Linked DNA regions of Arabidopsis thaliana. The main gene of each other region encodes a partner of the protein of the gene in region 2 in a complex. Each region holds a gene or a part of one and is shown on either strand. Other genes may lie near its edges.

The links.
Region 1: AT3G24870 (region 2) and HAM1 share a complex: the UniProt entries of both Arabidopsis thaliana proteins name them as parts of the nuA4 histone acetyltransferase complex.
Region 3: AT3G24870 (region 2) and AT4G37280 share a complex: the UniProt entries of both Arabidopsis thaliana proteins name them as parts of the nuA4 histone acetyltransferase complex.

What each region holds. Positions count from the first base shown.
Region 1 is NC_003076.8:25,826,731-25,833,994, reverse strand, and holds HAM1 (histone acetyltransferase of the MYST family 1), read left to right. Parts: upstream 1-3,325; 5' UTR 3,326-3,491; coding exon 3,492-3,798; intron 3,799-3,936; coding exon 3,937-4,025; intron 4,026-4,107; coding exon 4,108-4,167; intron 4,168-4,262; coding exon 4,263-4,472; intron 4,473-4,606; coding exon 4,607-4,675; intron 4,676-4,800; coding exon 4,801-4,962; intron 4,963-5,055; coding exon 5,056-5,149; intron 5,150-5,230; coding exon 5,231-5,373; intron 5,374-5,458; coding exon 5,459-5,662; 3' UTR 5,663-5,835; downstream 5,836-7,264. Other genes in the region: FAS2 (Transducin/WD40 repeat-like superfamily protein), read right to left, coding at 1-14, 112-138, 233-344, 584-697; C/VIF2 (cell wall / vacuolar inhibitor of fructosidase 2), read right to left, coding at 1,578-2,120; AT5G64600 (O-fucosyltransferase family protein), read right to left, coding at 6,064-6,199, 6,298-6,393, 6,486-6,670, 6,755-6,968, 7,075-7,211. UniProt on the Arabidopsis thaliana protein: Histone acetyltransferase which may be involved in transcriptional activation. Acetylates 'Lys-5' of histone H4 (H4K5ac). Essential for gametophyte development. Involved in DNA repair after UV-B exposure.
Region 2 is NC_003074.8:9,080,700-9,087,867, reverse strand, and holds the start of AT3G24870 (Helicase/SANT-associated, DNA binding protein), read left to right. Parts: upstream 1-2,448; 5' UTR 2,449-2,848; intron 2,849-3,549; 5' UTR 3,550-3,589; coding exon 3,590-3,729; intron 3,730-3,837; coding exon 3,838-3,892; intron 3,893-3,945; coding exon of another isoform or gene 3,946-3,985; coding exon 3,986-4,083; intron 4,084-4,159; coding exon 4,160-5,522; intron 5,523-5,630; coding exon 5,631-5,750; intron 5,751-5,958; coding exon 5,959-6,162; intron 6,163-6,479; coding exon 6,480-6,668; intron 6,669-6,764; coding exon 6,765-6,845; intron 6,846-6,961; coding exon 6,962-7,019; intron 7,020-7,093; coding exon 7,094-7,168. Other genes in the region: AT3G24880 (Helicase/SANT-associated, DNA binding protein), read left to right, coding at 1-1,411. UniProt on the Arabidopsis thaliana protein: Component of the NuA4 histone acetyltransferase complex which is involved in transcriptional activation of selected genes principally by acetylation of nucleosomal histone H4 and H2A.
Region 3 is NC_003075.7:17,544,467-17,552,340, reverse strand, and holds AT4G37280 (MRG family protein), read left to right. Parts: upstream 1-2,781; 5' UTR 2,782-2,978; coding exon 2,979-3,119; intron 3,120-3,711; coding exon 3,712-3,765; intron 3,766-3,874; coding exon 3,875-3,888; intron 3,889-3,978; coding exon 3,979-4,124; intron 4,125-4,227; coding exon 4,228-4,263; intron 4,264-4,398; coding exon 4,399-4,439; intron 4,440-4,621; coding exon 4,622-4,723; intron 4,724-4,899; coding exon 4,900-4,979; intron 4,980-5,070; coding exon 5,071-5,240; intron 5,241-5,322; coding exon 5,323-5,407; intron 5,408-5,499; coding exon 5,500-5,593; 3' UTR 5,594-5,764; downstream 5,765-7,874. Other genes in the region: AT4G37290 (uncharacterized protein), read left to right, coding at 2,158-2,412; HMA1 (heavy metal atpase 1), read left to right, coding at 5,989-6,489, 6,589-6,739, 6,836-7,020, 7,151-7,297, 7,386-7,581, 7,741-7,853. UniProt on the Arabidopsis thaliana protein: Chromatin remodeling factor. Acts as a 'reader' protein by binding to H3K36me3 and H3K36me3 to control histone H4 acetylation. Increases the transcriptional levels of the flowering time genes FLC and FT.

The DNA.
Region 1 (7,264 bases), on a different chromosome or scaffold from region 2:
AAAAAGCTCACCTCCTGCATCATAACAAAAACAAAACTGCACAATTGGTTTCACTACTCATTCAAAATATGCAAAACACACTTGCATTGCATCTAAGCCTCTGAGGCATACCGTCTGCTCCCGAGGCAAGTAGTTCCCCTGCAAAATAATCATAGAACAACACTCGTCACCACAGGAATTAACATGATTACGGCTAAAAGAACATATCTGATAATACAAAGCTAATGCATACCAGATGGAGAAAAACGAATGGTATTGACAGCACATCCATGGTAAGTAAGGCTACTCTGATAAGATACACTAGGAACCTTCTTCTCCGCTTGACCCGAATTTATCAACCATAGCTGAATAATTTTCAATTGTTTATAGTCAACAGTGAATGCAAAGTCAACAATCACAACCAAAACAATTTCAGATGTTCAAATTCATGAACCCGTGAGAACCAAATTCAAACATTTGAATTTTAGAAATTCTAAACAATCGCAGACATTCAAATTCCAAAATTACACAATTAGTGACTATTTGATCAAACTCAGATCCTGAAAATGGATACAAATCGATTTTGATTTGAGAATTAAATTACCTTGATATCGTAATCGGCTCCGGCGGTGGCGAGTAAACCGGAAATCGGGTGAAAATCTACGGTTAGCACCGGCTTCCCATCGTGCCAACTTATCTGTATCGTACCTCCCTTCATTTTTGTCAATCCTCCACAATGCCCAGAATCGTGATTCGGATTTTCTTGAGAAAATTTTCTAGGGTTTGTGGATTACTGGGAAGAAGAATAACTAAAAGGACTGTCACTCTGGGCGCGTCTTCTGGGATCATTTGGGCGCGAAATAGTAGTCTCCGTGTCAAATGACGATTTTATCCACCGACTAGTCCGGTTTATTCTAAAACCGGTCTTATTAGTGTTCGTATATGGTTTAATTATTTTGATGCTTTTAGTTCAATTATGAGTCGATTATTTGAACTGATATCGAAAACTGTAGACTAGTCAATGACCTACGAACATTCACTTTCAATAATTTATGTAAATGTTTCCACCTAAAATGATATTAAAAAAAGTCATACGTCTTTTGATTTTGATTCGCATAGCAGTCGACGTCGTCTTAAAAGCAGTACTAGTTTATGAGGTCGATAACTATTCTGCATTAAAATTGTTATAAAAAAATATATAGACGACGTTACCTTTCTCTTTTAAGATGACACTTTTGTAACCTTATCGCAATTTTTAAAGTGTAAAACATCTCTGAAGCGATAACACGTATAATGCATACAGATAAAGCAAAAAGTTACCTAAAGATATATAACGAATATACAAATATCTCTAGTACTTCCCATTTCTTAAGAAGCCTTTTCCCCCAAATCTTCGTCACTTAAAATTTTTGGTATGATTAGTCAATTGATTGAGAAATATTAAATTCCAAATATTCAGGTGATCTCTAAAGATTGTTCTTCTTGGCAATTTGAAAGTTGTAGCAAAGACGAAAGTAATAAAGTAACGGTCATATTAAATTCATGAAATACGATAATTTAAATAGAGATTTTACGAAAGTAGTTAATGCAAATGTAAATCATTCAACAAGGCGATCAAGAATCCCGGAGACAACACCACAAATACGTCTCAGACTAGCTTCACGCCGGCGAATCTCCACCGGATAAGCCAACCCTTTAACCCGCCTAAAAATATTCCGGCAAACATTAGGATAATCCTGCGCCGCCAACACATGCATGGAGGCATAGTCATAAGCTTCATCATCAAGATCTTGAATCGTCAGCCGGAGAGAATCAGCGGCGAGAGCATACTTCTCGGAGCAATCTTGTAAGACCTTTTTGAGAACGGTGTCTTTTACGGTGGCGGATAGGTTTCCAGCGATGTAATTTGCGGTGGAGGTGGCGTTTGTCATACCAACGCCGACCATAATGGAGGCGAGACCTTTTGTGTCGGCTGTGGGACTTCTTGGGTCGGATTTGAGAGCTGAGACGCAGAATTTGTAGTAGTTTGTGGTTTTGCAAGTTGATTCGATTATTGTTGTTGTGTTGGATTTGGCTGAGATTAGGGTTGATGCTGAAAAGGTTAGGGTAACGAGGAGGAGGAAGATGAGAGAAGAAGCCATTTCAGGAAGAAGGTTTTGAGCAACTGTTTACGGAGAGATAGAGATGGAAGAAAGAGGATTCTTGTCTTTATATTCTGAGCAGTTTCTTGAATTACATATTTTACAAAATAAATACAAATGATAACGTTTCCGTTTATCATTTGTAATTGCACTAAATGAGGAATGATTTTCGCATGTAGTGTGGTAGTTTATACTAATATTGACCTATCAAGATTTAAATTCACATGATGCAAATTGTTGGTCAAATAATGAATTAAATTAAAATACGTTTTTCCAGCTTCGTCATTTCATTACATTTGAGTATCTTTACTTTATTTTTGAAGAATTTAGAATTGATGATATACGAACAAGATATTTGTCGATGAATCAATCATTGTAGGTAAAAGAATCAGCCACTTCAACACGTTATTTCCAAAATTTGATAACTAAGTTTTGTTTGCTCAACCAAAAAAATTCTGTCTGTTTTAAAGATTTCGTCACTCTTTTCTCATTTTTTCTTACAATTATACAATTTCACATCATTATTATGAAAAAGGATACACGGTGTGTAGTAGCTACAAAAATTAGAAAGATGAATATATGTCACCAAATTAAATCATTTTATTTAAATTTTCCCTTTAGTCAAGTTGCCATATAAGTATATAACGTGTTTACATGTGAACAACTGAAATAGGAATCAATTCTATTTTTCTTCATTCGAATTTCAAAAGTAAGTAAGTCATCCACTTCAATTCATAACCGAAAAATAAAAGTAAATTGATAGTATGTAAAAGTAAAACATTCTTTAAGAAAAATGAGATGTAAAATTTCACATACAAGATACAGTAAAGTGACCATGTGAATCTTTTTTGTTCATAAAAAATCATTTTGGTTAATCTAGAGGAACATGGTGTGCGAATCTATGACCATAACTTCAAGGACACGATGATGAGTTGTGTTTTTCGTCTTTGCTTCTTGGAACTTTGTGATTTTTTGATCTGTGAATCTTGTGATTAGTACGAATCATAAAGCCTTGTTTGGCTGTTTCCCATTCACGACAAAATACTGACTCTGTCACTTATTATTTATCTCTCATTATCTCTTTAGTTTTTATAAATTGTTTGCTCCTACTAATCATTCTTTAAATGTAACCTGGCGATTATAAAACTAAACATAAGCCAACAGTTATAAAACGTGTATTAACGACGGTAAGAGATTTTTTGCACCCAAAAAAAAAGGACGGTAAGAGAGACATATAGTACAGGCCAATTATAAAGATAGGCCCAATTGAGCATTCAAAGTTGTTATTGGGCCACACTCCTTCCAAATGATGTTCTTTATCCGTATGAGAAAAGAATCCACCCGGAAAAAATCTCCGACCCGACTAAAGAAATGGGATCGTCTGCGGATACAGAGACGGCGATGATAATCGCCACACCGGCGTCGAACCATAATAATCCGGCAACCAACGGCGGAGATGCGAATCAGAATCATACTTCTGGTGCGATACTCGCTCTCACGAATTCAGAATCGGATGCTTCGAAGAAGAGAAGAATGGGGGTGCTTCCGCTCGAGGTTGGTACTCGCGTGATGTGTCAATGGAGAGACGGAAAATACCATCCGGTGAAGGTTATCGAGCGCCGAAAGAATTATAATGGTGGTCACAATGATTACGAGTACTACGTTCATTACACAGAGTGTATGTCGTTTCCTCCTTTCTCTATCTGAAATTTGTGAATCTAGGGTTTATAGATTGGAGCTGAAATTTCGAAGAATTGAATTAGAGGGCTTTGCAATTCAAGTTGTTTTGAGTATCACAACTCTTGTGAAACTGCAGTTAATAGAAGATTGGATGAATGGATTAAGCTTGAACAGCTTGACCTTGATTCAGTAGAGTGTGCTTTAGATGAAAAAGTTGAAGACAAGGTATTAGCCATTTTTCTTCAAAGTCTTGAGCTTTCCTCTCCGTAGTTTGCACTGAAACATAGAAGTTTGTTTGTGGTAATAGGTGACTAGCTTGAAGATGACACGACACCAGAAACGGAAGATTGATGAGACTCATGTAGAGGTAAAGTGATTGGTTAAGTTAGTTAAACTTTGTTGTGGTTTTAGTGAACTGTGTGGCATGCTATATATTCTGATGTTTTTCGATATTTTGTATAGGGTCATGAAGAGCTGGATGCTGCCAGTTTGCGTGAACACGAGGAGTTCACGAAAGTGAAGAACATAGCTACGATTGAGCTTGGGAAGTATGAGATTGAGACGTGGTACTTCTCTCCTTTTCCTCCAGAATACAATGACTGCGTGAAGCTCTTTTTCTGTGAGTTTTGCCTCAGTTTTATGAAGCGCAAAGAGCAGCTTCAAAGACATATGGTGAGCAACTGTTTTTTTTATCATTTGTAGCATTTTAATTGTTTTGTCTTTACAGTTATTTTTAGTTTCACACATACCTTTTATGGGTCATTCTTTTTACTTAAGTTTTGCTCAATCGTCTTTTATCTATGCAGAGGAAATGCGATTTGAAGCACCCCCCTGGGGATGAAATCTATCGAAGCTCTACTTTGTCAATGTTTGAGGTAATAGATTGATGTTTTCATCCTTAAACTGTTTGCTTTAGGCTTACGATACTTGTTTGGAAGCTAATAAATGTATTTAGAATTGAATTTTCACGACCTGGGAGTTTATTTGTAATATCTTACAGGTGGATGGCAAGAAGAATAAGGTCTATGCACAGAACCTCTGTTATCTGGCAAAGTTATTTCTTGACCACAAAACTCTTTACTATGACGTTGATTTGTTCCTGTTCTATATTCTCTGTGAATGTGATGATCGTGGATGCCACATGGTTGGATACTTTTCAAAGGTATCAGCACACTTTGGCTCTTGGGTCTGTTATATACATGTTCTGTTTCAATTTGATTGTCTGATGAAAAAAATGCAATTTCTGTTGGTACAGGAAAAACACTCAGAAGAAGCTTACAACTTGGCTTGCATCCTTACACTTCCTCCATATCAAAGGAAGGGCTATGGCAAATTCTTAATAGCCTTCTGTGAGTTTTTGTTTTTCATTCAACTCTTCTTATTTGTTCTCACCTCTCTCTATAAAGCTTACACGTTATATTGTGTTATAGCCTATGAACTCTCAAAGAAAGAGGGCAAAGTCGGGACACCGGAAAGGCCGCTCTCTGATCTAGGGTTAGTGAGTTACAGAGGTTACTGGACTCGGATTTTATTAGACATTTTGAAAAAGCACAAGGGAAACATATCTATCAAGGTATGTATATCTATATATCCGTAATGATCCTTTTTAGCCTATCTGTCAACAGAATAATTCATATATTCAACTTTTTTAAATGTAGGAGCTGAGCGACATGACAGCGATTAAAGCAGAAGATATATTAAGCACCCTGCAGAGCTTGGAACTGATACAATACAGGAAAGGACAACACGTAATCTGCGCGGATCCTAAGGTACTGGACCGACACTTGAAAGCGGCAGGCCGAGGTGGTCTTGATGTGGATGTGAGCAAAATGATATGGACTCCTTACAAAGAGCAGAGCTAAGAGGGCATTACACTTCAAATAGTTATGGTTATGGTCTACTTTTAATCTGCATATCCTTAGATGACTTTTGTCTGTAACAATTTAACACGCACTCTGTTCAATAGATCTTGTAACTGTAGGAATCTTTTGTCTGGATGGTAAAACGATCAGTAGTAACTTTGGTGTTTCATTCTTGTTCCATTCTGATTGACAACAGTTTGGTTAAAATTTGGAATATTTGAAAAAATGCCGAAAGAGAAGTTTTATAACTAAATGTTAAAAATTTCTGGCTTTCTACTTCGGCTAGAGATCTCCGGATATCAAAAACAGAAAAGATATCAAGGGATATGTGAAAACTATAATTAAGATGACTATAAATGAGATGTAATGATACAGAACAAAAAAAGTTTGGAAAATTTTAGTTAGGGTTCTTTGTGCTCCTTTGAACTGCAAATACACTCTGGATATGGATTCTCATAAAAGGCTTCTTCAGTTCTAAACCGTGCACGTCCTTTGATCCCCTGCGTTGGTCCTTTCCTTCTCCTCGGTGCACCTTGTCTGCAAAACCGATCAAACAAATCCTCTTCTCGCATCAAAGATGTGCTTTTTTTTATAGGTTTATTGTTTAAGAAGCAAACGTATGACTCTTTTGCTACCTGTCTTTATGCATTTGATTCACAAAATTGGACAACTTTGGTCCTTCTTTTAGCTGTCCTCTCTCCATCTTAACGAAGAGTTTCACTAGTCCTTTCCTGCATACAACACCAAACTTGTCATGGCCTATAACAAAATGACTAAAAGATTAATGCTTTTTTTTAAGGTAACAGAAGGAAGGAGATAGAACCTGTCGGGAGTGATAGTCCTGCGATGCCCTAGAAATCTGCGGTGACCTTCAACTGCTCTTGCCATGTTTCCAGAATGTGAAGGAACAAACACATCACTCTCAACAGAAATTATGTAATCAAGAGCAGCCGTTTTAGTCGCATGGCCAGTGAAACCTTTTAACTCTTCGTTCCCAGCAAGCGTTTCCTACAAAATCCAGTACATGAAACATAAACATTTATCATCTTTAGATTGTCAGTAACATGAAAGATTAGAGGTGGTTGAACAGACCTTAAAAACCAGATTTGGGAAGCGCGACTTAAGCTCAGAGAGTCTATCATCACCCCCATAGATTTCCCCTGCTGCAATATATATGACTGTTGACTGAGAATATCCGAGACCTTTCAGAAATATTCCCACTTCTTTTGGAGTCAATGGACAAAGGCCTTCCTCTCTCTGCTCTGTTGAATTTATACTTTTGATCTTCCAATGGCTTGTACTTTCCCTGTGACCAACAGATAACATATTGAGCTTGAAACTGTAATTTTATCCCATGAAGACGTTTTGCATGTTTGCTTTGTTAAGAATAGATGCAGAGAGTAATCAATTACCGCATTACTCTCAGTTCTTCGGATTCAGCATCAGTGAGACCATAGGTGCAACCAGTGAAAGCCAACATATCTTTCTCATATCTCAGGTGCAATGCAATATATCTCCCAGCACGTGACTTGAGTCTCTCAACCAGCTTCTGTGGTGTCACCGTCATGATTGCTCAGAACCCACAGTCTACAGGAATCCCCA
Region 2 (7,168 bases):
GTCACATGTGCTTGGCAACTCGCATCATCCTCATCTCCAGAGCCCAAGTCAAGCCACTGGGGCACAGCAAGAAGCATTTGCTATCCGTCAAAGACAAATTCACCAGAGGTATTTGCAGCAACAGCAACAGCAACAGCAGTTTCCAGCATCTGGTTCTATGATGCCACATGTACAACAACCTCAGGGCTCTTCTGTTTCTTCTTCTCCACAAAACAGTCCTCAGACTCAACCACCTGTTTCGCCCCAGCCATTATCCATGCCCCCGGTGTCGCCCTCTCCTAATATTAATGCTATGGCACAACAGAAACCTCAAAAATCTCAGTTGGCGCTTCATGGTTTGGGTAGGAGTCCTCAGTCTGGTACTTCTGGAGTGAACAATCAAGCTGGAAAACAAAGGCAGCGACAACTTCAGCAGTCTGCAAGACAGCATCCACACCAGCGGCAGCCAACACAAGGTCAACAGCTGAATAAACAACTGAAGGGGATGGGTAGAGGCAACATGATCCATCAGAACATCACTGTTGATCAGTCACACCTGAATGGCCTTACCATGCCCCAAGGAAACCAGGCTACTGAAAAAGGAGAGATAGCGGTTCCAGTTAGGCCTGATCAGCAGTCTAGTGTGGGGACTACCACGAGCACGAATCTGCAGTCTAAACCATTTGTTTCTCCCTTGTCTTCAAATCATTCACAGCAACTGCCAAAATCATTCCCTGGTGCTTTGCCTCCATCCCCTCAACAACAGATGCAATTACATTCAGACAATAGCATCCAAGGCCAGAGCTCACCTGCGACCCCATGTAATATTTTATCCACCTCTAGCCCGTCAATTGCACCAGCGGTTGCACCTTCTAACCATCAGCATTTGTTGATACACCAAAAGCAGCGCAATCAAGTGCAATCAACAGCTCAGCGAGTTGTTCAACATAATCATCTAGGGAACTCTGAGTTATCAAAGAAGTCCCAAGCTGAACGCATGCCACGTGTTCCACAGTCTGTAACCAATACTACCCAAACTGTTAGTATGGGTACGACCAAGGGTATGCCTCAAGCGAGTAATGATTTGAAAAACATAAAAGCAGTTGGTTCTACTGCGGTGCCTGCTTTGGAACCTCCATCTTGTGTTGCTTCTGTGCAAATCACTGCTTCGAAAGTAGTAAACAGTTCCAATACAGATTCAGCAGGAAATGATCCAGTATCAACACCGAACCAAGGACTAGCTCAAAAGCACGGGATCAAGGGCGTTACACAGAGACAACAACAGTCTCTACCTTCAGAAGAAAAGAGACCGAAATTGCCAGAGAAGCCGACTGTACAAAATCAGAAACACCTTGCTTCTGAGGAGCAGCCTCATTTAGAAGAAGCACAAGAATTATCATCTTCCAAGCCTCCTGATACAAAAGTGGAATGAGAGGCATGACAGATGAACCTAGAACCTTGAGTAGCTGTAGATCCTGCAAAGCTTAACGCTGGCCCTTACCGACAACAACCCTGTACAGGAACCCAAACTGGTTTGTGTCCTCCACCTTCAGAGTCGGGTCTCTTTTTGGCATTAACATCTTGAAGCTGCTGGTGGTCTTTGGATTTGGCTGAGAGTATAACATAACAAACTCTACAGATTGTGGAGTTTGCAGATTTGGTAAGGCCAGAGGGAGATCAATAGGGAAGAAGTTGGTGGATAGGATAAAATTCATGCAGGTCTTTTTGCCTCTTTTGATGAACACAAAGAGAAGAAGGTATATCATAATGTAAATTACCCACTTGCATCATAGAGAAGTAGTCTCTTCTTCTTCCCATCTTTTGGTTTGGGAGAGAGTAGAAACAGTTTATAATGTTTTGTATAGAAGTCTCTACTCCTCCATCCTTGTGGCATATACTTAGGGCCCTTTTTTAACCTTTTCCTCTAACTTATTCTCTTGTAGGTTTAGGTTAATTTGATGAATGTATCATTGTTCTTTTATGGTTAAAAAAAAAGTTCACTTCACTCCCATAAACATTAGCTTACATAGTGCATTTCTTCAAATCCGTTACCTATGTTACAAATCTAAAAGCAACAATGACTAAATCTCTACGTTAGAAAGAATCAAAAGCATTGTTGATAAATTGAAGAAGCTGAGTTTGAGAACTCTGAATCAAATTTTAGATTTTTTGGATACTTCGGATAAACCCGAATCCGAACCCAAAATATCTGATCCACATCCGATCTAAACCCAAATTTTAATATACCCGAATGCGTCCTAGATTTCTAAACCCGAAACCGAAAACTCCGACCCGGACTCGATCCGAATTGCCTATGGACAACGTGGGACAAATATAGTTTTACAAAACCAGCGACATGCCTGAGATTTGTAGAGATCCATGTCACACAACATGAAACTGTTATAACTTTATTACTACAAAAAGGCCCGAAACAAGACCAAGCAAACAAAAAGAAAGGCCTTGTTTGGTCAAAATCTCAGGCCCAGAATTCGGAGAGAGAGAGAGAGAGTCGCATACTGCGTCGAGGAGAGAGAGAGAGAGAGAAAGAACGAAAAAAAAACATCAACGAGAACTCAATTTTTTTTTTTATCTCCCGAGAGGGAAACCAAAATTGAAAACGAAAAATAGCTGAATTAGGAATCAATCTCGCAACAAGCAAGCAATTTCCATGGATTCCTTGTTTTGGGAGGAGCTTCTTCTCTTCTACTCTCTGAGAAATTGATTCTCGTCTTTCGATTTGAAAGAAAAGCTTATAAGAATTTGGAAGCCCTAGGAGAGAGAAACTAATTTTAGAATTTGGTGATTTTGCCCGAGTTTTGTGCCCTAGCTTTTTGCCTTCGTTCTGTTCTGTTCTACGTTCAATTTCCAGGTTTAACTCTCTTCTCCTTCACTCTTCTATTCAAACCCTAGAGTCCAGCTTTGCTGGAGCTTCTGTGATTTTGAACCCAGTGCTTCTTTTATCAGGAATGTGAATTGTTTGCTGAAATTGTGTCTCTGTAGTTCTTTGTTTCTACTCGTTTAGCTTGGAAATGCTCAATACTTGATTCAAGAGTTCGTAGGCACGCCATTAAGTAGCTTAAGCTGATCATTTTCTAACTTTGGTTCCTAGTAATCGTTGTTAGTGTTGGATTAAGCTTCTAGAACCTCTCTGCCTTGAGGCAACATTTCATTTCTTTGGTATCTTAGAGTTCTATTCTATCTCTGTTATGCTGGAATACGTAGTTGTGAGCTTCTCGGGGATCAGAATGGTATTGGCGTTAGATATATAGAATTCTCAGTCAAATACTAGATTCTGGGGAGTTATCTTCACTTTGATGTTCCTTTGGATAGTGGCTAGAGTATATGAGTGAATGTTGTTTTACTTTTGACATCTTCTGAGCAGTTACATCTTGAATCTGATAAGCTACTCTATTATATGATATCATATGGTACTGCTTTTTGCATCATGAGAACATACATTTTACCAGTGTTATTTGTAGGTCCAACATTTAGGTGTAACTGATTCTAACTTCTGCAGTATGATCATTCGGAATGCTGTAAATACTGAAAGCTCTTGATATAATTTTTCAGTTAAGCTAGAATTCGAATTGATGGGGTATTCGACGTGGTGATGCATGGAAGCGTTTCAGGATATCTTCTAGTAAATGCTGAGGTTGATTCCATGGGAGGAGTTATCGATAGTGGAGGTGGTATTGGTGTTAAAACATCTCCGCGCCGAACAGCTATTGAGAAGGCTCAAGCGGAGCTAAGGTATTTCAGATTGAGACATCTTGATCTTCTGCAGTGTGTTTAAATGCTCTATAATTTCTACAGCTTTCTATTATTTCCAATGTGTAACAAAGATGCTTATTTCAACAGGCAAGAGTATGATGTTCGTGAGGAAAGGAGGAGAGAATTGGAGTTTCTAGAGAAAGTATGAATACCTATTTCCCTGTTCTATAATTGTTTTGTGTGTGTGTGTGTAAGAACTTATGATGACAAGCCTTTACTCTTCTATCTGCTTCAGGGCGGTAATCCCTTGGATTTCAAGTTTGGTATTGCAACTTCACATAGCGTCCAATCTACATCACTCACAGATCAGCAAGCAGAGCATTTTGTAAACAGGTACATTCGTGTTTGGTGTAGTTCCCACATTAATTTCATGGAATAACTCATCATTATTTGCCCATAACCCCCACAGTGAAGTCAAAGATAGTTTTGCCCTGACTGCCTCACCACATGGTGACTCGGTGGAGAGTAGCGGTAGACCTGGAGTTCCTACAATTTCTGAACCCAATACAGCAGATAATCTTTTACTGTTTGATTCTGAAAACAAGTCAGTTGAAGGGGAAAGAAATTTGAGACATCCTAATAGGCAAAACAGAACTTCTGAGTCAGAACGATCTTCCAAAGCACACACCAACCAGAATACCAAAGAAACAGAAGATTCTGCCATCTTTCGCCCGTATGCTCGGAGGAACAGATCGAAGATAAGTCGGGATCCAGCACGGTCAAGCTCTACGGATTTAGTTCAGAATCGTGGTGGTCTTGCAACGTCTATATCTATTCGCAGAGGATCAGTGGAAGGAAAGGGTTGCATTCCCGAAGCAGCCAATCAAAAGGATATGCATACAACTTCTGTATCTTGTCCAGTATTTGCAAATTCAAATGGTAATATCGTTCCGAAAAATAGAGTTTCCAGCAATTCGCTGAATACTAAGGTGGATGGTGAACCTGTTGTACGAGAGAGTACTGCTGGATCCAAGACTAGTCTATTGAAAGATGAAGCCGACATTTCGTATAGTAAAAGCTCTGCATATTTGCCAGTTGGAGAGTCTGGCCTTGCTGGGGAGAAGGCACAACTAGTTTCGACTGGTGGTTCTCCCAAAGCTGCAACAATAGCTGGCCAGAAAAATAGTTCTACCCAACTGAATGGCCTAAGAGATTCCACGGTAGAGGAAGAAAGCTTAACAAATAGAGGAGCTACAGGGACTAATGGGTTAGAGTCAGAGTCTTCTCATGCGAACAACGTAGAAGTAAATGTAGATAATGAAAGAGATCTTTATAAAGTGGACAAACTTGACTCTGATGAAATCTCTATGCAGAAGACTTTGAGAGTAGAGGGGTTACTAGATCAAACAGTTGGTGAAATGACCAAAACTAAGATTGAAGATGAGACAGGTCAATCTACCACCATTATCAGTGAGTGCATTCCTGAATGTGAAATGCAGATGAAATCGGTTAAAATTGAAAATCAAAGTCACAGAAGTACAGCTGAGATGCAAACTAAGGAGAAAAGTTCCGAGACTGAGAAAAGGCTTCAAGATGGGTTGGTTGTACTCGAAAATGACAGTAAAGTTGGTAGTATTTTATCTGAAAATCCTAGCAGCACGTTGTGCTCTGGAATTCCTCAGGCATCTGTAGACACAAGTTCTTGCACAGTTGGCAATAGTTTATTGTCAGGAACTGACATTGAAGCATTAAAACATCAGCCGAGCTCAGATGCAGTTATGTTAGATACTGTCAAGGAGGACGCTATTCTTGAGGAGGCCCGGATTATACAGGTTTTCTTTTTAATCTTGACTTGATGATTTTTAGCTATCTAGTTTTCGTAGAAGTTATGATGTTATGTACCTACTCATCTTTTTATGTATGACATAATACATTAACAGGCAAAGAAAAAAAGAATTGCCGAATTATCTTGTGGTACTGCACCAGTGGAGGTCCGTGAGAAATCTCAATGGGATTTTGTCCTCGAAGAAATGGCATGGCTGGCAAATGATTTTGCGCAGGTCTGGTCTAGTTAAATTATCTTTCTAACATAAATTCTATATATCTGCATGGAAAATGCTGCATTTTGTGGATTTTTGTTCTGTTTATTTACTACGGCGTCTGGTCATTCGTCTTCTTAAATGAGCTTGTCCACTTTTATGTTACTGGAACATTTTTCCGTGACTGTTCTAATTGCATTCTGTTACCTTTTTTCTTTTCATCTTCTAGGAGCGCCTTTGGAAAATGACTGCTGCCACACAAATTTGCCATCGAGTTGCTTTGACTTGTCAGTTGAGATTTGAGGAACGAAATCAGCACAGAAAGCTGAAAAAAATAGCTTCAGTCCTATCTTATGCTATTTTACAATTCTGGAGTTCTGTGGAGGCCGAGGTTCCTGGGGAGCTGGAGGAGACGAGCTTGGGAATTGTTAAGGTATTTGACTGTCTGACCTCTTTTATGGTTTTTGATGACAATGATGATCATATGGTTCTTTCCGTTTCTTTTAAATTAGAATTTATACATACACTCGTTGAATTCTGAGAACCATATTATTATGTTTGTGACTAGACTGCAAAACAACACAATTCTACTGATATTTCCTTCTTATGATTGAGAAGCCTGATCTTTCTTATTTGCTTGCATTGTCTTTGATAATTACCTTCAGGAGTCTCTGGTTCTGTCGCTCTTTATGTTATGATTTTTGTAAAACTTAATGGTATCAAACTAAATATTACCGTGGTTGTATGCAGGAGACCTGCCAAGAATCTAATTGTTTGAATGGCATAAGATGTTTAGCTGCGGGTGTCAAGGAATATGCAAGTAGATTTTTGAAGTACAACAACTCTTCCATCTCCTATCATTCAGCTGCACTGTCAACACCTGACAATATGTGCGACCCAGAAATATTGGATATATCTATGGTTGATCAGCTTACAGAAGTATGAATTTCTGAAAAGATTTTCCGCAGCCTCAGTTGAACACTATTGTTGTGGATAGTTCTACATTATTGCTAATTGAGCTTTATTACTGTACAGGCAAGCCTCTTTTATTCAGTTCCATCTGGTGCAATGGAGGTGTACCTTAAGTCCATTGAGTCGCATCTTACACGTTGTGAGGTATGTGAGATTGTTCTATGCTAGGAGCTCGCATATTGTAACCTTGATGGCGTATATTTTCCTGAGAATATATATCTGTTCTCCAAAGATATTTAACAGTATTTCTCTGTTCCCAGAAGTCTGGAAGTAGCATGCAGGAGGAGGTTGATACATCAGCCTATGATACTGCTGGAGGTATGCACAATTCTGGGTTGTTTGAGCTTCGCGGGTTGGTTAAATTTTTGCTAATTTTTTATCTCTAATTGTAGATATAGGATATAATGTTACTGCGTTCGATGAGGATGAAGGAGAAACAAGTACCTATTATCTTCCGGGAGCTTTCG
Region 3 (7,874 bases), on a different chromosome or scaffold from region 2:
CGAACAAAACATAATTGTCATGTTGGTTCGTGGGCATGAGAAAAAGAAGGGAGATAACATAGACAGACAAATTCGGTGGTACTCACACAAAATACTTGTATGGACGGACGGACTCTAACTCTGCTTCATAGTTGTCATGATAACAATATTGGCATCTATCTTCTTCCTCTTTTTCCTTTTTGTTTTTAAACGTCACTTCCCCCACATGTATGATGTACCCTCAATTTTATTTCATTATCAATCTTGCATCTTCGAATCTTTTTTAAAAAAAATCGAGTTTGCAGAACTAAATCCATAATTATTTCTAATTTCGATTTTTTAATGTGAAATATTTAGTGGTCAAATATGAATATAAGTACTGTTTATGGACGAACCATGTGAACATATCATGTTTTCGATATACAAATTATGATATTGCATTGTGCAGTCACAATTTGGTTCTTTTGAGATGTTATAGTTGTATACTACCTTAATCCCTAGAGATACATATCTGCTATTTGAATGGATTAAAGATTTGCTTTTATATAGATTTAAGTAAATAATTGAAATTCTTTTGTCCAAAGATATTTGTTCAAGAATTATATTAATTTCATGTAATTGGAAGGAATACAAAAGACTGGAATCTTGATAATGAATTTATTAATGCAGAATTTGATTCCATTATTAATGGACTACCACGTCCGAACTATACATAGTTAAACATTTTTTCTTCTTGTATTATTCTGGCGTGGTCTTACGCCACTTATAAACTATATTATTTTGGCCAAACCAATATTTATAAAATCGAAATAAAACATTAAACCGGGTTTTAAGTACTTTGTTTGTATTATTCAATAATTGGTTATTAAACTAAGTTAATAATTTCAAAATAGTGATTTCACCTTAAAATATGGGAAAGAGTTTCCTGATGCTCTGGAATTTGGTTTCTTTGTCTTATACTCTAACTGCGGATAAAAAGGAGCGATTTTGCTATAAAAAGGAACAGTTTGAGATGATATTACACTTTATTCCGGTAAATTATTTGGCTACCATCAATAATATATTCTTCAAAACTATCAATCTTCCTTTTTTTTTAGAAAATAAATAAATTTCATCACAACTCTGTTTGAAAAATCGTTTATGAACTTGAGACGGAAAAATTATCATAATTCAACGTCATATAGCAGCAAGAGTTGAAATAAAAATTAATGGTTTTGTCTTTTCATAGGATAGATTTCTTATTTCTACCTAACAAAAACTAAAATTTGGATGTTGAATTTTGAGTAGTATAAAGTTTGGTTGTTCAATGTTTTTTGCAAGAAAAATCACGTGAGAAGGAACTATTTTTGGTCGTGCAAGAAAAATAACACCAAAGTGTTTGAACTTTTGAAGCATTGATGATTAGGTTTGGTGTATCTAACAATATTATAAAACAAACACATGAGATCCGACTCATAGTCAATTTAGCTTATGTCACTCCTTAAATCAGCTGGTTTAACCGAACCAGAAACCCTAACCAAATTTTTAAAAAAAATTCAAGTTATCTGATTTTAAATTTATTTTCTATATATAAAAAATTTGGCTGAAAGTTGAAACGAAACCAAAGCTAGAGATGTACATTTTCTAGTAAAGTAAAATAAAGTAAACAAATTCAATCTGAAACCAACAATATACCATAATATACTTACGAAAACCAAATCTAAACCGGCTAACGATATATGTGAGTGTGACTTTATATACGTTGCGAGTTTGAAATTCAAGCATTATTTTTGGTCTACACAACTACAAATCTACCTTAATATTTAGCTGCCGTCTGCTCCAAACAATGAAACTTCATGTTTGGTCTACGATATTAAATTCTTTATTTCTAATATTCAATTCCTTATCCTTTTCTTCATTGATGGCTTTCACTATTTTGTGTTCAATAAATACACACAAAATTGAATGCTCAAGAAACAAGTTGGTATTTTCCCAGGAAGCAGCATACTAACTAATTTCAATGATCACATTCTTTTCAATTCAAACTTAGTCAAGAATAAAAATTCAAACTTTGCATCTCCACGAACACTACTATATAGTCACATTCTCAACTCACAAAACACTCACAACAAAATTCATTATCTGCCAAAGAGAAAGAAAACCATATTTTTTATAAACAGAGTTAAATTGTTCTTAAACATGATGATGAACAAAAACGTTCTGAGTTCGATTCTGTTCTTCATGTTGATTGGTTCGGTTCTTGTCGAGAGTCGTCCGCTTGGTCTAACAAAGACCGAGGAGAAGTTCGTGGCTAGTTTATTCGATGGCTTATCACTTGGTTCGATCAAAGACTCAGGTCCAAGTCCAGGCGAGGGTCATAAGGTCGTGGACAGGAAGGATACGTTTCGATTTGTTAAGCACTCAGGTCCAAGCCCAAGCGGACCGGGCCACTAATGTTTCAATCTTTAGTTCAAACCGGGCCGGTTAAAGTGCCCATACCCATCTAGGTCGAGAAAATTATTTCATTTTTTTGTTCCAGTTTCATTAGTGGAAAATATTATACATGTCTCATGTTTCTGATCGATACATAGGAAGAAGAATGGCAAAAACAATAATTATTGTCTCATTTTTCTATATTTAGGATTATTGTTTTGTTAGTGAAATAAAGTTACTTGAAAAGTATACAAATAAAATGTATTAATCAATTTTTTTATATTTATTTGAATGTAATAATAGTTAATAAACATCAGTGTCCAAAGTGAAATATGAGTCCAACTGCTCAACGACCAATAAAGGCATAAATTTTTTTAAAAAGACAATGCTTTATAAATGGGCGACGAGTATATTTAAAAGGTTTAAGAGATTTAATCGAACTATTGTGAAAGTTAAGGGACTCAATTGAAAAACTATTCGCAACGATTCAGTCATTCAGCAGTTGTCGTAGATTCATTTATCTAGACGGTTAAAGGGGTGCCTTGTGATGTGAAGATCTTTGCCTCTCGCTCTCGCTTTCGGTGACAATGGGAAGCTCGTCGAAGGAAGAGACGGCGAGTGACGGAGATACGGCGAGCGGTGGCGCCTCACCGTCCAACGACGGCAGACTCTTCTCGGAGGGCGAGCGTGTTCTCGCTTACCATGGTCCTCGCGTCTACGGAGCCAAGGCAAATAAAAAACCTCTCTCTCTCTCTCTCTTTCTCTGTGCATCGTCAGATGTTCGCATAATTTGAATTCTAGAGATTATCTTGTTCGTGTTAATTTAGCAATTCTTGTATTTCACGTGGGTTTTGGTTGTATCCGACTACGGAATTAACTGGTTTCATTGAATTGAGATCTCTCTGCTAGATTTGGCTTAGGGGTTTCTTGGTAGATTTCGGTTTCAAGTTACGACGATCCGAAAGATGAACCCATTGAGATTGGATTCGAGTTTTCTTTTTTTGGTAATGGATTCATGTAGCATTAGAGCTTTTTAGATTGGAATGATCATAAATGCTTAGTCGTAATAGATGCAAAAGAATAATTCACTTGCCGTTGGAGCAAGGAATTCAATAAATTACTCGGAAAATAGGGCAAGCTAATCTACTTGCATGTTTATTTTTTCAATCATATATTATATAGGTCACTGGATTGAGTCTCATTCATATCAAATGTGTGTCGTTGTTATGCTAAATCTTCATAGTTTTGAAAAAAATCTGTTATTGCATAGTGTTTTCAGTGTGTGGGCAGACCTGATAGATTATTGACATTCCATTACAGGTTCAAAAGGTCGAGCTTCGGAAAAAGGAGTGGAAATACTTTGTGCACTATCTTGTGAGGCCTCCTTCTTCTGAGCTATTATAGTTTCATTATCCTGTTTCATGTACTAGCTATTTTCATTTTGGTTTGCAGTAATAAGTGATACAGCGATCTTTGTCTGCAGGGTTGGAACAAAAAGTGAGTATCTCTCTCTGCTCTCATGTCGATTCTGGTTTATGTAGCAAAATCAGTAGATTGGGACCCATGACATGATTGTCTTGCCAACAGTTGGGATGAATGGGTTAGTGCGGATAGATTGTTGAAACATACCGAGGAGAATCTTGTCAAACAGAAAGCTCTAGACAAAAAGCAAGGAGTTGAAAAAGGTACCAAGTCTGGCCGTTCCGCTCAGACAAAAACTAGAAGCTCTGCAGGTGAGTTGTTGCCTCCACATTGACCATGCTGAGAGTACATGATACATATTTTGGTCATCCAGGCTAAGAAACTAACTATTTCTTTCTGATCTTGCACTTGCAGACACAAAGGCTGATAAAGATGACACCAAGACCAATGGTAGGCAACATATTAATTTACGCTCCCTTTGTAGTTCAGGGTTCTCCCAACAATTTCCAAGGAAATGATTTGGTAGACTGGGTGCAACTTAAATTATTTAAGCTGGTGTATAGATGATTACATTTTCTGTTGCAGCTGCAAAAGGGAAGAAACGAAAGCACGAGTCAGGCAATGAGGTCAGGCTTGCAAAAACTTAGAGATGTATTTGGTTCATACCTGTTAGGTCTTTGTTAAGATTATATTTTACAGTACAATAGATGGCTGATGTGTTGTTATGCATATACACACATACGAAAAGGGTCAATTTTTCAGGTCTTCTAATATCGATAAGGTTTTTGTTTTCATTTGTAATCTATAGAAGGATAATGTAACGGCGGAGAAGCTAATGAAGATCCAAATTCCCGCATCACTTAAAAAGCAACTCACTGACGACTGGGAGTATATTGCGCAGAAGGACAAGGTATCATCAATTTTCTCTATTTTGTGCACATACTTTTAGCACTATTAGAATTGTTATTGAATCAGCTAGACTTGAAAGTTAAGAGACATAAGTGTGTATTTGTAGTCGAATGAATTGTGTATACCAAAGTGAAGGGAAATTGATGTTTGGTAATCTGTCTTCAAATGATTATATAGGTTGTGAAACTTCCTCGTTCACCTAACGTCGATGAGATATTGTCCAAGTACCTTGAATTCAAAACCAAGAAGGATGGAATGTGAGTCTTTTACTCGAACACAGAGTTTGATATATTTGAATCTTTTCCGAAATCCAACGATACAAAATTTTGTGTTTCTGTTTTTGTGCAGGGTAACTGATTCGGTCGCTGAAATATTGAAAGGCATAAGGAGTTATTTCGACAAGGCATTGCCAGTGATGCTCCTATATAAGAAAGAGAGGCGACAATACCAAGAATCAATCGTGGATGATACTTCACCTTCAACTGTTTATGGCGCCGAGCATTTGCTCCGTCTCTTTGGTAAAATCTCATTAAGTTCTTATTTGGACAGTAAAATTCGATGTTCTGAAATTTTATTTTTGCTTTTTTTAAAAATCTGCAGTCAAGTTGCCAGATCTTTTTTCATATGTAAACATGGAAGAAGAAACATGGAGTCGCATGCAACAAACATTATCAGACTTCCTCAAGTATATATCTAATCTCTCTGTTTCATCACTACCATTTTGATTTCTCGGTTTTAACGGTTAAATTCACAATTTCTGGAAAAAAATCTTTACAGGTTTATTCAGAAGAATCAGAGCACTTTCTTGCTACCATCAGCATATGATTCTGATAAGGTTTCAGATGGTAAAGGCAAAGGAAAAGACGACTGACATCTCCAGGAAAAAAATATTGTTGTAATTTAGAATTCCTTCATTTTTCTGATGAATTCATAATTGTAAGATTTGCAGCTGAATATGAAATATTTTACAGGCCTTTGAAGTTAACTATTTGGTTCATGTAAATTTCTTTAAGTGGTCAATAAAACATCCGGAACAATGGAACCTTGGTTGGTAGAAGGCAACAAAAAAAATGGAAAAAATAAAAAAGTGTATGAGATGAGATTATTTATGTGGCTAATGTCATCGGAATAATTACATTGGTTCTCCTTCTCTGTTATTATTCTTTCATCTTTTTCACCAAGACGAACGACTCTTACACGCAGAGTTCGCGAGATCAGAATCAATGGTGGCATGAAAAACGACGCTTGAGCTCAAATTCGTCGACCATGGAACCTGCAACTCTTACTCGTTCTTCCTCTCTTACTAGATTCCCTTATCGTCGTGGTTTATCCACTCTCCGACTCGCTCGAGTCAACTCGTTCTCAATTCTTCCACCTAAAACTCTTCTCCGTCAAAAACCGCTTCGTATCTCTGCTTCCCTTAATCTTCCACCACGGTCGATTCGTCTACGTGCTGTCGAAGATCACCATCACGATCATCATCACGATGACGAGCAAGATCATCACAACCACCATCATCATCACCATCAACACGGATGCTGTTCTGTGGAATTGAAAGCGGAGAGTAAGCCTCAGAAGATGTTGTTCGGATTCGCTAAAGCTATCGGATGGGTTAGATTGGCCAATTACCTCAGAGAGCATCTTCATCTTTGCTGCTCCGCCGCTGCAATGTTCCTCGCTGCCGCCGTCTGTCCTTACCTTGCTCCTGAACCTTACATTAAGTCTCTTCAGAACGCATTCATGATTGTTGGTTTTCCTCTTGTTGGAGTAAGGTTTTCTATAGCCTTCTCTATAAAGCTCCTTGCTAGTTTTATAATTTAGCCAGATGATTTAGTAATTTAGCTTTATGGTCATCGATGTTGTTAGGTTTCAGCATCTCTCGACGCACTTATGGATATAGCTGGAGGAAAAGTGAACATCCATGTCTTGATGGCACTTGCGGCTTTTGCATCTGTGTTTATGGGAAATGCTTTGGAAGGAGGATTGCTTCTAGCTATGTTCAATCTTGCTCATATTGGTTAGAACTTGACCTTAATAAGGATTAGGGATATGTCATTGTTAATGTTTATCATGACGGAGAGGTTTGAGCTTTTGTCTTGTCATTTTTCTGCAGCTGAGGAGTTCTTTACTAGTCGATCAATGGTGGATGTCAAAGAATTGAAAGAGAGTAATCCAGATTCTGCATTGTTGATCGAAGTACACAATGGCAATGTTCCAAATATATCTGATTTGTCATACAAAAGCGTTCCTGTGCACAGCGTAGAAGTTGGATCCTATGTTTTGGTTGGAACTGGTGAGGTCTGTGAAACTTTTCTATTTGCTTTCATTACTTGAATTTCTTAAACATGTGACCCTGTATGTCATTAGTTTAGTTTTAGCAGGGTTACAATTGCAGCTGTTAAGTAATGGAATTTTTTTTTCCATTTAGATTGTGCCTGTAGATTGCGAAGTCTATCAAGGTAGTGCTACAATTACAATTGAGCACTTGACTGGGGAAGTCAAGCCGTTGGAGGCAAAAGCTGGAGATAGAGTGCCTGGTGGTGCAAGAAATTTGGATGGCAGAATGATTGTAAAGGTATTTTTTATCCTATTCTCATTGCTTTGGCTTGTCTCTTTATTTGAAATCCTCATGCTTATCTCAATCCATGGAATTTCTAAATCAGGCTACAAAGGCATGGAATGATTCGACGCTTAACAAGATTGTACAGCTGACCGAGGAAGCACATTCTAATAAACCCAAACTTCAGAGATGGCTGGATGAGTTTGGCGAGAATTACAGCAAGGTTGTCGTTGTTTTGTCACTTGCAATTGCCTTCCTAGGTCCATTTTTGTTCAAGTGGCCTTTTCTCAGCACCGCAGGTAAGATGTCAGGATCAAGTTCTCCCTTCTTAACATTACCATAAATCATTGTTGATGTGACAAACTATTCTTGTTGTTTAATAAGATATATCACCATTTGGACAATTGATAAGAGTGGAAAATTGATTGGCTTACTTTCATTGCTTGTTAATGATGCAGCATGTAGAGGATCTGTTTACAGAGCATTGGGACTTATGGTGGCCGCATCACCATGTGCTCTGGCCGTAGCTCCATTGGCTTATGCTACTGCTATTAGTTCCTGTGCAAGAAAGGTATTGTTCAAGTACTCTACG